2 linked regions of the Rattus norvegicus genome follow. The protein of the gene in region 1 interacts with the protein of each later gene in a biochemical or structural test. Links are inferred from orthologs where the notes say so. Each region holds a gene or a part of one and is shown on either strand. Other genes may lie near its edges.

Region 1 (5,502 bases):
GAAGTTGCCCAGACTTTAGGGGGAGAAAAATCAGGCGGATTTAACCAAATTAACCTTCCTGGTAAAAGCATGTACTCGCCGTGAGGTGACCAAGTTATATGGGCAAGGTCTGAGTGTTTGTGCCCCTGTGCACACTGGGATAGGCTCTACCGCAAACCATCAAACTCTTCCATGGGTTCTGATCCCATAGGCTCTCGGAGGCTCTTCTGTGGTTTCTCACTCTGTGCTGGCTAGCTTCATGTGAATTTGATACAAGGTAATCATCAGAGAGAGGAGAGCCTCAGTTGAGAAAATGCTCAAGACCGGGCTCTAGGCTATTAAGTAGTAATCATGGGCGAGGGCCCAGACCACGGTGGGTGGTGCCACCACTGGGCTCACGGTCCTGGGATCTATAAGCAAGCTATGAGGAGCAAGCCACTCCTCTGCAGCCTCCGCATTAGCTCCTGCTTCCGGGTTCCTGTCCTGGCTGCTGTGGCAGTGAATCGTGAAACCCTTTCCTCTCTAAGCTGCTTTTGGTCAAGGTGCTTCATGACAGCAATGGTGACCCTAACTAGAACACACCTTCTTCTGCGTGTGTGTTTGTGTGTGTGTGTGTGTGTGTGTGTGTGTGTGTGTGTGTGTGTGTGTGTGTGTGTCATTTAGAAAGGCTGGTCCTTGGCAGAGCTACCCAGAGCTTTGTTTTATTATTTTACGGTCTAGTCCCAGATCATCTTCCTCAGCCTTGCTGACGAATGGATGAGAGGTCAGCCTGGCAGCTTTCCATAGAGGGAAGGATGTCACATTCAGGCCATTTCCTATGCCTTTCCTTAAAACAAAAACAAAAACAAAAACAAACACAAAGCCAAGGACACACAGAGCCTTGGGAAGCTCTTGGTGAACGGCCTAGCTCAGTGGGGCCAGCAGGTGAAGAGAAGCAGAGCAGGGTGTAACCTCCGAGTCAGGGCCAGGCCCAAATCATGAAGAACCAACAACTGAGGAGACTGTGGTGAGTGAGGGCAGGCGGGCACTGAAAGGAACGAGCTTGAGCTGAGGCTCAGATCTAAGCAAAAGCGTATACAGGACTGGTTATGTAAAAGTTGACAGACTCGGCTGTTGTGAGTCAGCCCTGTCCTGACGACTGCAGACACAGAGCCCACTGCTGACATCAGCAGCTGCAGCTGCAGCCACAGCCAGTCTAGCATGGCTACCAGCTTTCTGGCTCTACACCGCTCGGCATCAGTCTTCTTCAGCATCTCCAGACACCTCCGGCTGGAGGAAACTTTCAAGCCTGACTGTCCCAGGGAGCTCGAGTGCCCAGAACTAGGCATGCTTGCCCATGTAGGACTGTGTGCATATCACACAGGAGCTGAGTAGTGGCGAACAAACTCACTGCACACCGCCTTGGTGGGAGCCACTTGCTGTCCAGCAAGCAACTGGAGGAGTTTCCTTATGTCGATGTGCACCTTGGCCATGTCTTCTGGGTGTCTGTTTTGAGAGACACTGTCAGAAGCTGCAATGACATGAATGGTTTTTTTTTAAGTCCAACATCCCCCTAACAAGGAACTCAGAAATGTGCAAGGTGCTTACTTACTAACTGATAGACTCTACAGCTCTTTTGAGCAGCCTCGTAGACTGCAACTTGTGAATGTTACTCACTCAGCAGACATCTGAACTAGTTAAAATACTGTAATTTGACACCAAAATAACTCATGTCAGGGCTGGGGAGGTAGCTCGGCGGTGGATCGCTTCTCTAGCATGCAGAGGCCATAGACTCAGTAAGTATTCTGAACACACACACACACACCACCAAGAAAACCGAGGTCATCCACACGTTTGTCAGAAGCTTCATGCTATGGGGCTTCGCTTTCCTGGAGCTATGTGTCCCTCACTACAAAATAAATGTTTCTTGCGGGGCTAACAGTAATATTTGTGCCTATGAAGAAGCAAATCTGGAATAACCAATCATACCTGTCACAGTGACAAAGGAAGAGCTTGGAAGTCAGTGTTTTTGACCTGAATCCCGGAGGAGGGAGCAGCCTTCTGCCTGGTAACCTTGCCTAGCTAACTGCACTACTGCGTCACAGGGAGGGAGCATAACCTTAGCCCCTTCCCAGAGTGCAGCATGTTCATGGAGGACTCAACGGACAACGAAACAATGCTATTAGAAGCAAAATATAGCCCATAAGAAAACTCACGTAGTAGAGGGTTTTCAAGATCCTTAAAGTGTGTTGTCACACATACTGACTCAGTTTCTATCTTTAGGTTTAGTTCTCCTTTTAGGTTTGCTTCAATAACCTGCAAATTGAATAAAATTCAATATTAAAAGGGGGAAAAACAACAATGTGGTACCAGCTTCCGCAAAAGCCAGGTAACAAGGAAAGGGCACAAACCTCGGAACGCCTCACAGGGCACTGAAGCCTCTAAGGCGTCAACCACTGAGAGACATTCTGAGAGCCCAGATCACAGAAATCCCCTAAAACAACAATACCTCCCTAGTGGAAAACTCAGCCTGGCAAAATGGTTCAGACACTGCTGAGGCGCTCTGCCAAGGATCAGGGCTCTGGAGGCCCAGCAAAGTGAGGAGGGCCGAGTGGGGGCAAGGGCTGCTCCCTTACAGCAAGCACAGAAGGAAGAAGGACCCAGCAAAGTGAGGAGGGCCGAGTGGGGGCAAGGGCTGCTCCCTTTCAGCAAGCACGGAAGGACCCTAACCGAATAGGATGAATGCTTCGGCAGAGGAGAGGAAGGAAGTTACATGGGGAGAGGTAGAGCAAGCATGGATCAGAGTCTGGAGAGTGAAACCATCAAAACATGCATCCCTTCAGAGATGCCTGTCTCTGCCTTTCTCATTGAAGCAAGAAGCAACTGACATGGTAGGCTGTGTCTACGGCTCTTGCAAGGAGAGCCCCCGTCCTCACATTCTATGCATGAGAATCCCCGAGGTTGGTTAAGATGGAGAGCTGGATTCAGGCATGTACCCAGGCTCCATACTTCTGACCAGTGTCCAGGGCATGCTAACAATGCTGCCTGTCTTCTTACCACACCCACTAACGACGCTTGACGATGTGTGCCCCACTGGAGGTGATTTCAGATGCGATCCTGGAAACAGCTTTCCTGGAACAGCGTAGGGAAGAGCAAAGAAAGACTTTGGAGGAGAAACACTGCGAGGAGGTGGGAAGCCTTTGGAGTGAGTTCCTTAGGGTAAGTGAAACCTGGTGCTGGAGACATTATCTCTAAAGGGGCAGCAGTCCAGTTGTCACAAGCATTTTCTTGCTCTGATGAATTTAGAGGTAGTTTATAGCAGGCACCAGTACAAATTAGTCAGTAGACAACTAGTGGCACTTGGTGGTGACTAAGCCAGTCACTGAGAAACGTAAGCTCTTATCTTGGTGCTTAGGAAACTGGGTATGTGGATTCGCATGATAGTCCAAGAAACTGCGACTTAAATCACCTCACTTACTGAAAGAAGTGTTAACATGGAAACTTCTTATTCCAAGGAAATTACCTGAGTAGAAGGCTATGAGCTTGGGGAACTCTGTATATGTCAAAACCTCAAAAAGAAGAACTTAATCTGACTTCAAAGAACCTAACTTGTTTTGTCTCTAGAATGAGGAAGATTTGGAGTTCAGAAATTTTAAGGAACAAGCTTGGAAGACTGTGGGGCCAGGAAACCATGGGACAGGGAGGAGACAGTTAGGAGCAGAGGTGGGGTCAAGCGGGGTCCAACCCTGGAAATCTCATCTTGAGAGTGGTAGGAAGTTAAGACCACTCCCTCCCCAGCTTCGGACGTGGTCCTGCACCCCCAACCTTTGCCCACACCAGAGGACGACACCAGGTTAAACTCCCCCTCTCTTATAAGGTCTTGTTCATCAAGCTCCTGGAACTCCTGCCTATCCAAATGACCACCTGGCCCCAACCAATGCTGTACACCCACCTCATAGCCTCTACTCAGGGTCAAAGGTTCAAAACGCCTTTGCTCCTCACATTAAATGAGCTGCTCTCTGAAGCCTGTTTCTCATGCTCACCGGCCTCCCAAGGTCTCCATCACTCCTGGTTATTCTCACCTCCCTTCTCTGGATCCCTGGTTGTGGTTATGCAGCCACTGTGGGACAGGAAGTGGAGTGAGAAGGACAGGGGACACCACACTGACCAGTTCCCAGGTGTGCTAGTGCTGTGTCCTGATGATCTGGGCCAGCAGGGTGCCTTCCTGTCCTCTCACTTACGCAGGACCCTCTGCCAGCAACGCACACAGGATGGCCCTGCTGACATAGGTGTTCCTGGTTGGCAGAACACGGACAGCAGACTGTATGTACCCTACAGACCAGGTAGGCAGCTACTAACAACCAAACCAGAAACGAAGTGTGCCTTGAACAGGTTGGCAAACCTCCTTTCAGATAAAAGAACCAGGACGGGCATGGTTGGAACTTAAGGAGAAAGGAGATTGCTGTGAGCTGTGCCAACAGTACCAGGGCAGGGAGAACAGGAATTGAAGAGTGGGCCCCGTGGGGAATGAGTGAGTGTCAGAGCTGAGTCCTCTCTCCCGGTTGTTCTGTCAGGACTGCTGCTCTGGCCTGGTAGGCAGCAGCCTCGCTGGCCCCCCTAAGTCTGGCTTCGGCTATCACACATGCAGTATCCTTCGTACAGGACTCAGTCATGATCCCCTACTGAAGGCTGTCTGTGCACGTGTGGGCTTCACTATAAAGGTGGAGATGGACCAAGATGATTCCCTAACTTTGCAAGTTCTTTATTCCATAAACTATTAAGACTCTCCCAGAGACATCTACTTAGTTCTTCAGATTCTGGCTCTCCAGGTACACAGACCTCATTAAGCAGTTGGCCACTCTAGCTCAGCAACTTCCTGTTAGCATTTTCCCAGCACAGAACAAAAACTACCACCACCACTCTCACCGAATCCCCCTCTCATTCTCCACTTTGCTGAGCGGCTTCTCAGAACAGAAAGAACAAGCAAATAGACACATCAATTAGTTAGCTGACTTTTCCCTCTGGGCCTCCTGAACCTCCTAGAAGTTCCAGGGTGCCTTAGAAGAAGCCAGCCTGGCGACCAGAGCAATCCCATGGCAGCGACAGTGAACACTACTGCCAGCACAGTGCGTGCCACTTCCAGAAACTGATCTTCCCTTCAGATGGCAGCTATGAAAACTAACTAAGGAGAGTGTCCAGTAAGGACAAGCTCATGGCAGCACAGCGCTAAAGTGAGAACTCAAGAGAAAGATGACTAAGGACAACAAAACACTTCCTAGGCTTCAAAAGCCTTTTGTGATGTAAAGATTCCTACAAGAGCTAAAAGCTACAAACCACAGACAGACACAAAGAAGCTAAGTAACAAGGAGGGCCCAAAGGGTAGAGGGTAGGAGGGGAGGAATGCTTGAATCTCATTGAGAAGGGGAAAGAGATTAGATATTGGGAGTGGAGAGAGGAAGGGAACTGGGTCAGGAAAGGGGTAGGGATGAAGGGGATGAGATGGTGTAGGGGGAAGAGGGAAAGAGTACTAGAAAAGACAAATGG
Region 2 (6,152 bases), on another chromosome or scaffold:
AGTACTTTTCATATGAAATACAGGAAGTAATCTTTTATAAGTTGGTCATTTTTTTTTTAGCTTCTTCACCCAGTGACTGGGGAGTGAAGTGTTCAATCAGAACTTTTCAGAGGAACCTGGCAGGAAGACTCCAATTCCATATAAAACATATTTTAGTGTGAATGAAAAGAGGATATACCAGACAAATCAGGTAACTGCAGCCAGAAAGAGCAACTGCTTCCCTGTCCCTGCTCCAAAAGGATTAAGAGTCAGGATTCTGAAAAACGTAACACAGCAAAGGTCAAAGAATTGCGAGGACTCACCCAGGAAGTGATGGTGCTCTGATCAATGGGTTTGCTGGGCACCTGTACAGTGTGGGTAATGGGCTGCTGGTGAGATTCATAATGGGGTTTGGGGCCCTCCAGTGGCTGTTGGTGGAATAGCAGCTGGGCTTTCTGGCACTGTCTGCGTCTCTTTCGGGGAGGCATCAATGGGTAAATGAAGAACAGTTAGTAACAACATGATGCAGGCTGCCTTCCTGGTCTGGGTCAGAGTCCAGTTGCAAACCATGCCTGGAGAGAGGAAACAAAGGGGGGGGATCATGTGGGTGGCACCCCTCCCCCAATTCTTCATGACGTCAGGGTAACCAATCTATCAGAAACCACCAATCAGACCTCAGGTTGTAGGTAAACCAGCTTCCTATACCAAACCACGAGAAACATACGATCTTATCCATACTCAACAAAACTCACTCAGTGAGCACCCGCTGAACTCATGGTATTCTGACACACTGAGTGCTACGATTTAAAGACTTTAAAGATGGGCAAGTACTTATTCACAGTACTGAGTACTAAGTACCTGTAGTGACACAGAGGTCCCTGCTTTTGAGGCACTGTGGTACAGCACTTGCCTAATGTGCACAAAGCTGCAGGTTTCAGTCCCCAGAACTGCAAATGAGGGAACCGTGGAAAGGAAGAAGGAAAGGAAGAGGAAGAGAGCTAACCAGAAGGAAACAATCACATCTCAGTATAGCACAGTCCGCTTCAGTTCTCGTCAGAGAAGGCTTTCTGGGTAGGAAGACACTTAACCTGTGGAAGGAACCAGGAGAAGCAAAAGCCAGGAAGGTCACTGGAGGCTGAGGTGCACCACATGCAAAGACCGTTACAGAGGGCTTGGGGGCACATGCTAATTAGCACACCTGAGGCAAGAGATCTGGAGTTCAAGTCAAGCTTGGGCTGCACACAAAAAGCTCTCAAAAGCCAAACCAAACCAGATGCGGTGGGGCGTGCCTAGGATCCCAGCCCTAGGGAAGGGAGACAGGAGGATCAGGAGGCTCAAGGTTGCCTTTGGCTAGTGAGAGACCACCCTGAGTCACGTGAAACCTTAAACAGCCAAAACGCTGTTTTGTGAATTCAGAGAATCACAAGGTCATTGCAGACTGAGTGAAAGATAGCTCAGCAGTAAAAGAACTTGCCTCAAAAACCAAGGGCTTGAGTGTGTTCTCCAGAACTCACAAGAACTCGGAAGGCCGAAACTAATTCCCAAAAGATGTCCTTTGACATCCACATGTGTGGCATGTGTGTCCTCACAGGCATGTGTCCTCACACACAATGTCACTATCTATGAGGATGTGACTATCTAGCTAACAAAATAAAAAAGGAAAAGAGGCTAGGTGTAGGTGAGGTGGTAACATCCATCTCAAATCCCAGCATTCAGGAGCAGATTTCTCTGAGCTGGAGGTCAACCTGATCTATTTAGTGAGCTCCTTGCTAGTGGGGGATACAAAGTGAGACCCTGTTTTTAATAAAAGTTTTAAAGGATAAATGACAAAAAAAATAATATTAAACATGGTGTCAACATTGAGTCTGAAAACCAAGTGAGGCCACATGAGAGTGGGGTGGGGGTTGAGTAATCAATCATTACAGAATTTCAGATAGAAGCTTAGGCTCACATCTAGGTTTTGTTAAAAGACAAACAAACAACCAAACAACAAAAAAAACAGCCCACAGATTCTCTAGAACATAAAGAGGGGTCAACTGAGTTACGGGATGAGCCCCATGTACTTAGTACCCAGCTGGTTCAATCCTGACCATATATGATCTATTAGTTTCCCCTATCTTTCCCCTTGCATGATTTTGAAAAAAATGCATTCCTTTCAGTTTTCAGATTGAACCTCAGGCCTCAGCGTGTTAGGCGATAACGGTACCACTCGGCTGTATACCAGTCGTCTTATTGTGAGACATGGTCTTGCATAGCCTCGCCTGGCTTCAAATACACTGTGTAGTCTCCACCTCCCAAGTGCTGGTTCCCAAGGCATGCCCCACTGTTTTAGGTGCTTTTTCTGTTGCCATCATAAAATTCCCTGGAAGGCAAGTGAAGGAAAGAGGGGCTTATTTTGGTTCACAGTTCCAGGGTAGTCCTTTGTTGCTGGAATCATAGCAGCTGGGCACATCCCTTTAACAGGCAGGAAGAAGATGAACTCTCCTGCTCGGCTAGCTTTCTCTCTTTAGTCAGTCCAGGCCCACAGCCCATGAAATTGGGCCATATCCCACCCATCTCTGTCTAATCTAGATAAGCTCTTATATACTTACCCAAACAAAATCTAAGTCAGGTTTTGCACAATCTTGGCCTTTTTTTTTTTTTTTTAATTTTGAGATAGAGTCTTACTATGTAGCCTTGGCTAGCCTGGGGCTGGCTATGAATACCTGGCTGGCCTGGAATTCACAGAGATCCGCCTGCTTCTGCCTCCTGGGTGCTGGGATTAAAGGCGTGAGCCACCACATTCTGGTGTCAGTGAAAACCCACCAGCCTCTAACCTGTTCACCTCTCAAACACAGTCTTTATCTGCTCCCCATCTCATAGCATACCACGCCCCCTAAGTCTTAGTTCAAATCCCTGTGACCTTCAGCCTTTGTGTTCACCAGCCTAGCCTCCTCCAGTCAAAACATCTCCCTTCTTTTTTTTTTTTTTTTTGGTCTTTTTTTCGGAGCTGGGGACCGAACCCAGGGCCTTGTGCTTCCTAGGCAAGCGCTCTACCACTGAGCTAAATCCCCAGCCCCAAACATCTCCCTTCTTAATCTAGCTGCTTCAATGTTTCCTTCCCTTCTGTGTAATGGGTGACAGATCTTACACCTTGTTCTCAGCTCATAAGGAAGGAAGGAAGGAAGGAAGGAAGGAAGGAAGGAAGGAAGGAAGGAAGGAAGGAAGGAAGGAAAAAGAGAGGAAGAAAGAAAGGAAAAAGAAAGGCTTTCCTGCCCTAAGTCAAGATTTTCTCGTTAAAATAAATACTCAAATTTATCACTGGCGGCTGCGGGAGGGCGAGCCAGTGACCCGGGCTACTCCGAAGGCGGAAACACGAGAATCGAGAATTCTACACATGGGGATACCCGGGGTCAGACAAAACCCACCGGCCTCTAACCTGTTCCTCTGTAGCTAGAATTCTACCGATCTGTTCATCTCATTCTGGGCTCCCTCTCCATCAGACCACCGGTGAGCCCAGGGGAAGGACGGCCCGGTCTGCCACTGTACCTTCCACTCTTTCGTAAAGTATGGAAAAAAGATCGTCCGGACACCTCGGGGCTGGGCCCGAGGTGGAGGCGGCCACAGACAGGGGCGGGGCGTAGGGCACTTAACCGCAAGTCTGGGGACAGAAACCCAAGCTGGACCCCACGCAGCAACGAGGGCTGAGCCGCGCGGTGGATCCAGAGGTAGCCCAGTGGGTAGCTAACCGGGGGAGTGGCGTACGCTGCCCCGGAAGGAAGTCGACCACGGAGGCAGGGCGGTCCGGGGCGGGGCGGAGCAGGCTGCTGGCCGCGGTCCGCGCGTCCCCGCGTCCCTCCCGCCGTCCCTCGAGCTCCGGGGCCCCCTTACCCGCCCTCCCGGCCGCGGCCGCCGCTCCTCAGGACGCCGAGCGTTCGGGGCCGGAACCCGGAGACAAGCCGGTGCCGATTGGCGACGCTCCGTCACGTGACCGCAACGCTCCGCCGGCGCCAATTTCAAACAGCGGAACAACTGAAAGCGGCGCTGCGGGACCCACCCCCGGCCCGGGCTCACCCCCCACCCCGCCCCGGGTTCCCACCCCGGCCGTCCCGCCGGGACCCGCCCGCCCTGGCCTGGCTCGGCCCCGCGTGGAGCAGCGGTGGCCTGTGAGGTGAGTGGGGTGCGACCCGGTCCGGGGAGGGCTTGGAGTCGGGACTGCCGGGGCTGTGGGGCGCGAGGGGGTGTTGAGGACCGCCAGGAAGAAAGTCTGAGCCGCCGGCCTCGGCTTTCCCGCCGCGTTCTCCGAGCACCCCGGGACCCTGGGAACAGGCCTGCCCTCTGAGTCTGCACTTGCAGTCAACCCTGCCTCCGCCTCCACAGCTGCAGGGTGGGATCCTAGCTGAGCGTTGCAAGGTTCCCGGTTCTGTGTGGAGAATGGGGTCTTTGGGGATGGCTCTGCAAGTCGCCTTGCGCTAGAAGATTTTGGGAGTGTTAGGAAAAGGCTGGTCAAAGAGAGAGGTACCCTATGGTGGGGGGTGTCTACCATTTGATTGGGGTGGGTGCAGTGTGAAGCAAAACGAGAACTGAGATTTGAAGGTCGAGAGAACGAAGTATAAAGGAGAGAAAGCTACAGGGAGGAAGGGACCTAAGAAGGCTAAGCAGCTGGCAAATGTCAAAAAAGTGTAATTACTTTTTGGAAGGTTTCCTAAAGTGCCGGCTGTTTCTCCCTTTCTCGCAGGATTGCAAAATGGAGTGGCAGGATTTAATTTAATGATAAATTATTCTATCTATCTATAAAAACCTATGAAATGCTTTTTCTAAAGACTTCCTTCCTTAGCATTTCAAAGTGACTTTAGCATAGCCAGGCATAGTGGTGAATGCCTGTAATCTCAGCACCTAGAAAATTGGGGGCCAAAGGCTCAGTGGTTCAAAACCAGCCTGGGCTACATGAGACGCTATCTCAAAAATTAAAGCCACCTTAAGCATATTAATGATAGCACATTTTGGTATGGAGAAGATCTGTATTACAGTCTTTAGAAGCAGAAAAATCAAGTATTATACTTATAAAACTAAAATATAGTTACTCTCAAGTACCAAAATGTCACTGTGCAAATGCTTTGCAGATTTTGAAAGAAAGAATGGGACTGGAGAGATGGCTCAGTGGTTATTGACAACTATTGAAAAAAATTATTTTTAATTCAAGAGGATTGGAGTTTTTAATTGTAGTGTGCTTACCAAGCATTCACAAAGCTCCAGGTTCAATTCCTACCACTACCTAAACCTGGCATTGTAGCCACACCTGTGATTCTGGCAGGTGGAGGCAGGAGAATCAGACGTGTAGGTCAGCTGCATTATTTGAGACGGAAAGAAAAGGGCACTAGGACTATGGCTTGGGTAGAGTCTTTCATTCGTCCCTACAGTCATCGAGAGTGACCTGCATTCTAGTGGACAGTGGCTGGTATTTCCACATTCTTGTAGATGTGTATTCCTCTGGCCAAACATTCAAAAAGAGGTTTTTGCATTTTTACTGGGGCGGGGGTTGGGGAGGAGGGTTGCCCACATGCCACAGCACATGTATGGAGGTTGGAGGGTAACAGTCAGGAGCTGATTCTCTCTTCCCACCATCGTGGTCCTGGGGACTGAATGCAGGTGGCCAGGCTTAGCAGCTGATGGTTTCGGTCATTGAGCCATCTTGCCAGCCTCCCCTCCCTCCCAAATCTTTCTAGTTTGTTTGCCTTTTTGTAGTACTGGGAACTGAACTTAGGGCCTTGCTAAGCAAGCACTCTATTACTAAGCTACATTCTCAGCCTGGCCAAACATTCTTAAGCTTACAGGGGACCATGCACTTCAGTGCAGTCCCATGTTCCCATCTTGAAGTGTTTGCTGCAGTTTTCAGCTTTCCTTGGTCAGTGATAGGGCTTTATTTGTTTGTTCTTGTTTGCTCGTTTGTTTTTGAGACAGGGTCTCATGTGGCCCATGCTGACCTTGAATTCACTCTCTGGCTAAGGGTGACCTTAAACCTTCTAGGTGCTGGGATCACAAGTGTGCATCAAACCTAGCTTCTGTCCTTATTGTCTGAGGGTTGGACAAAGGTCCAGGCAGGATTCCCCTGGGCCTTTGAGCTTCTGCTTCTGTCTGTTCATGCAGAGGAACACTTCCAGTTTGTCTCAGCCCAGCAGATCTGATAGCAAGCT

The links.
Region 2: the proteins of Hus1 (region 1) and Rhno1 form a complex in vitro, tested with the Homo sapiens proteins (2 studies listed by BioGRID). The link is inferred for Rattus norvegicus from reciprocal best matches to the Homo sapiens genes HUS1 and RHNO1.

Annotation. Positions count from the first base shown.
Region 1 is NC_086032.1:87,906,427-87,911,928, forward strand, and holds part of Hus1 (checkpoint protein HUS1), read right to left. Parts: intron 4,079-5,502; coding exon of another isoform or gene 4,037-4,078; exon of another isoform or gene 2,275-4,036; coding exon 2,175-2,274; intron 1,490-2,174; coding exon 1,370-1,489; intron 1-1,369. UniProt on the Homo sapiens protein: Component of the 9-1-1 cell-cycle checkpoint response complex that plays a major role in DNA repair. The 9-1-1 complex is recruited to DNA lesion upon damage by the RAD17-replication factor C (RFC) clamp loader complex.
Region 2 is NC_086022.1:163,321,661-163,327,812, forward strand, and holds the start of Rhno1 (RAD9, HUS1, RAD1-interacting nuclear orphan protein 1), read right to left. Parts: upstream 3,727-6,152; 5' UTR 3,398-3,726; intron 2,016-3,397; exon of another isoform or gene 983-2,015; intron 552-982; 5' UTR 468-551; coding exon 303-467; intron 1-302. UniProt on the Homo sapiens protein: Involved in microhomology-mediated end-joining (MMEJ) DNA repair by promoting recruitment of polymerase theta (POLQ) to DNA damage sites during mitosis.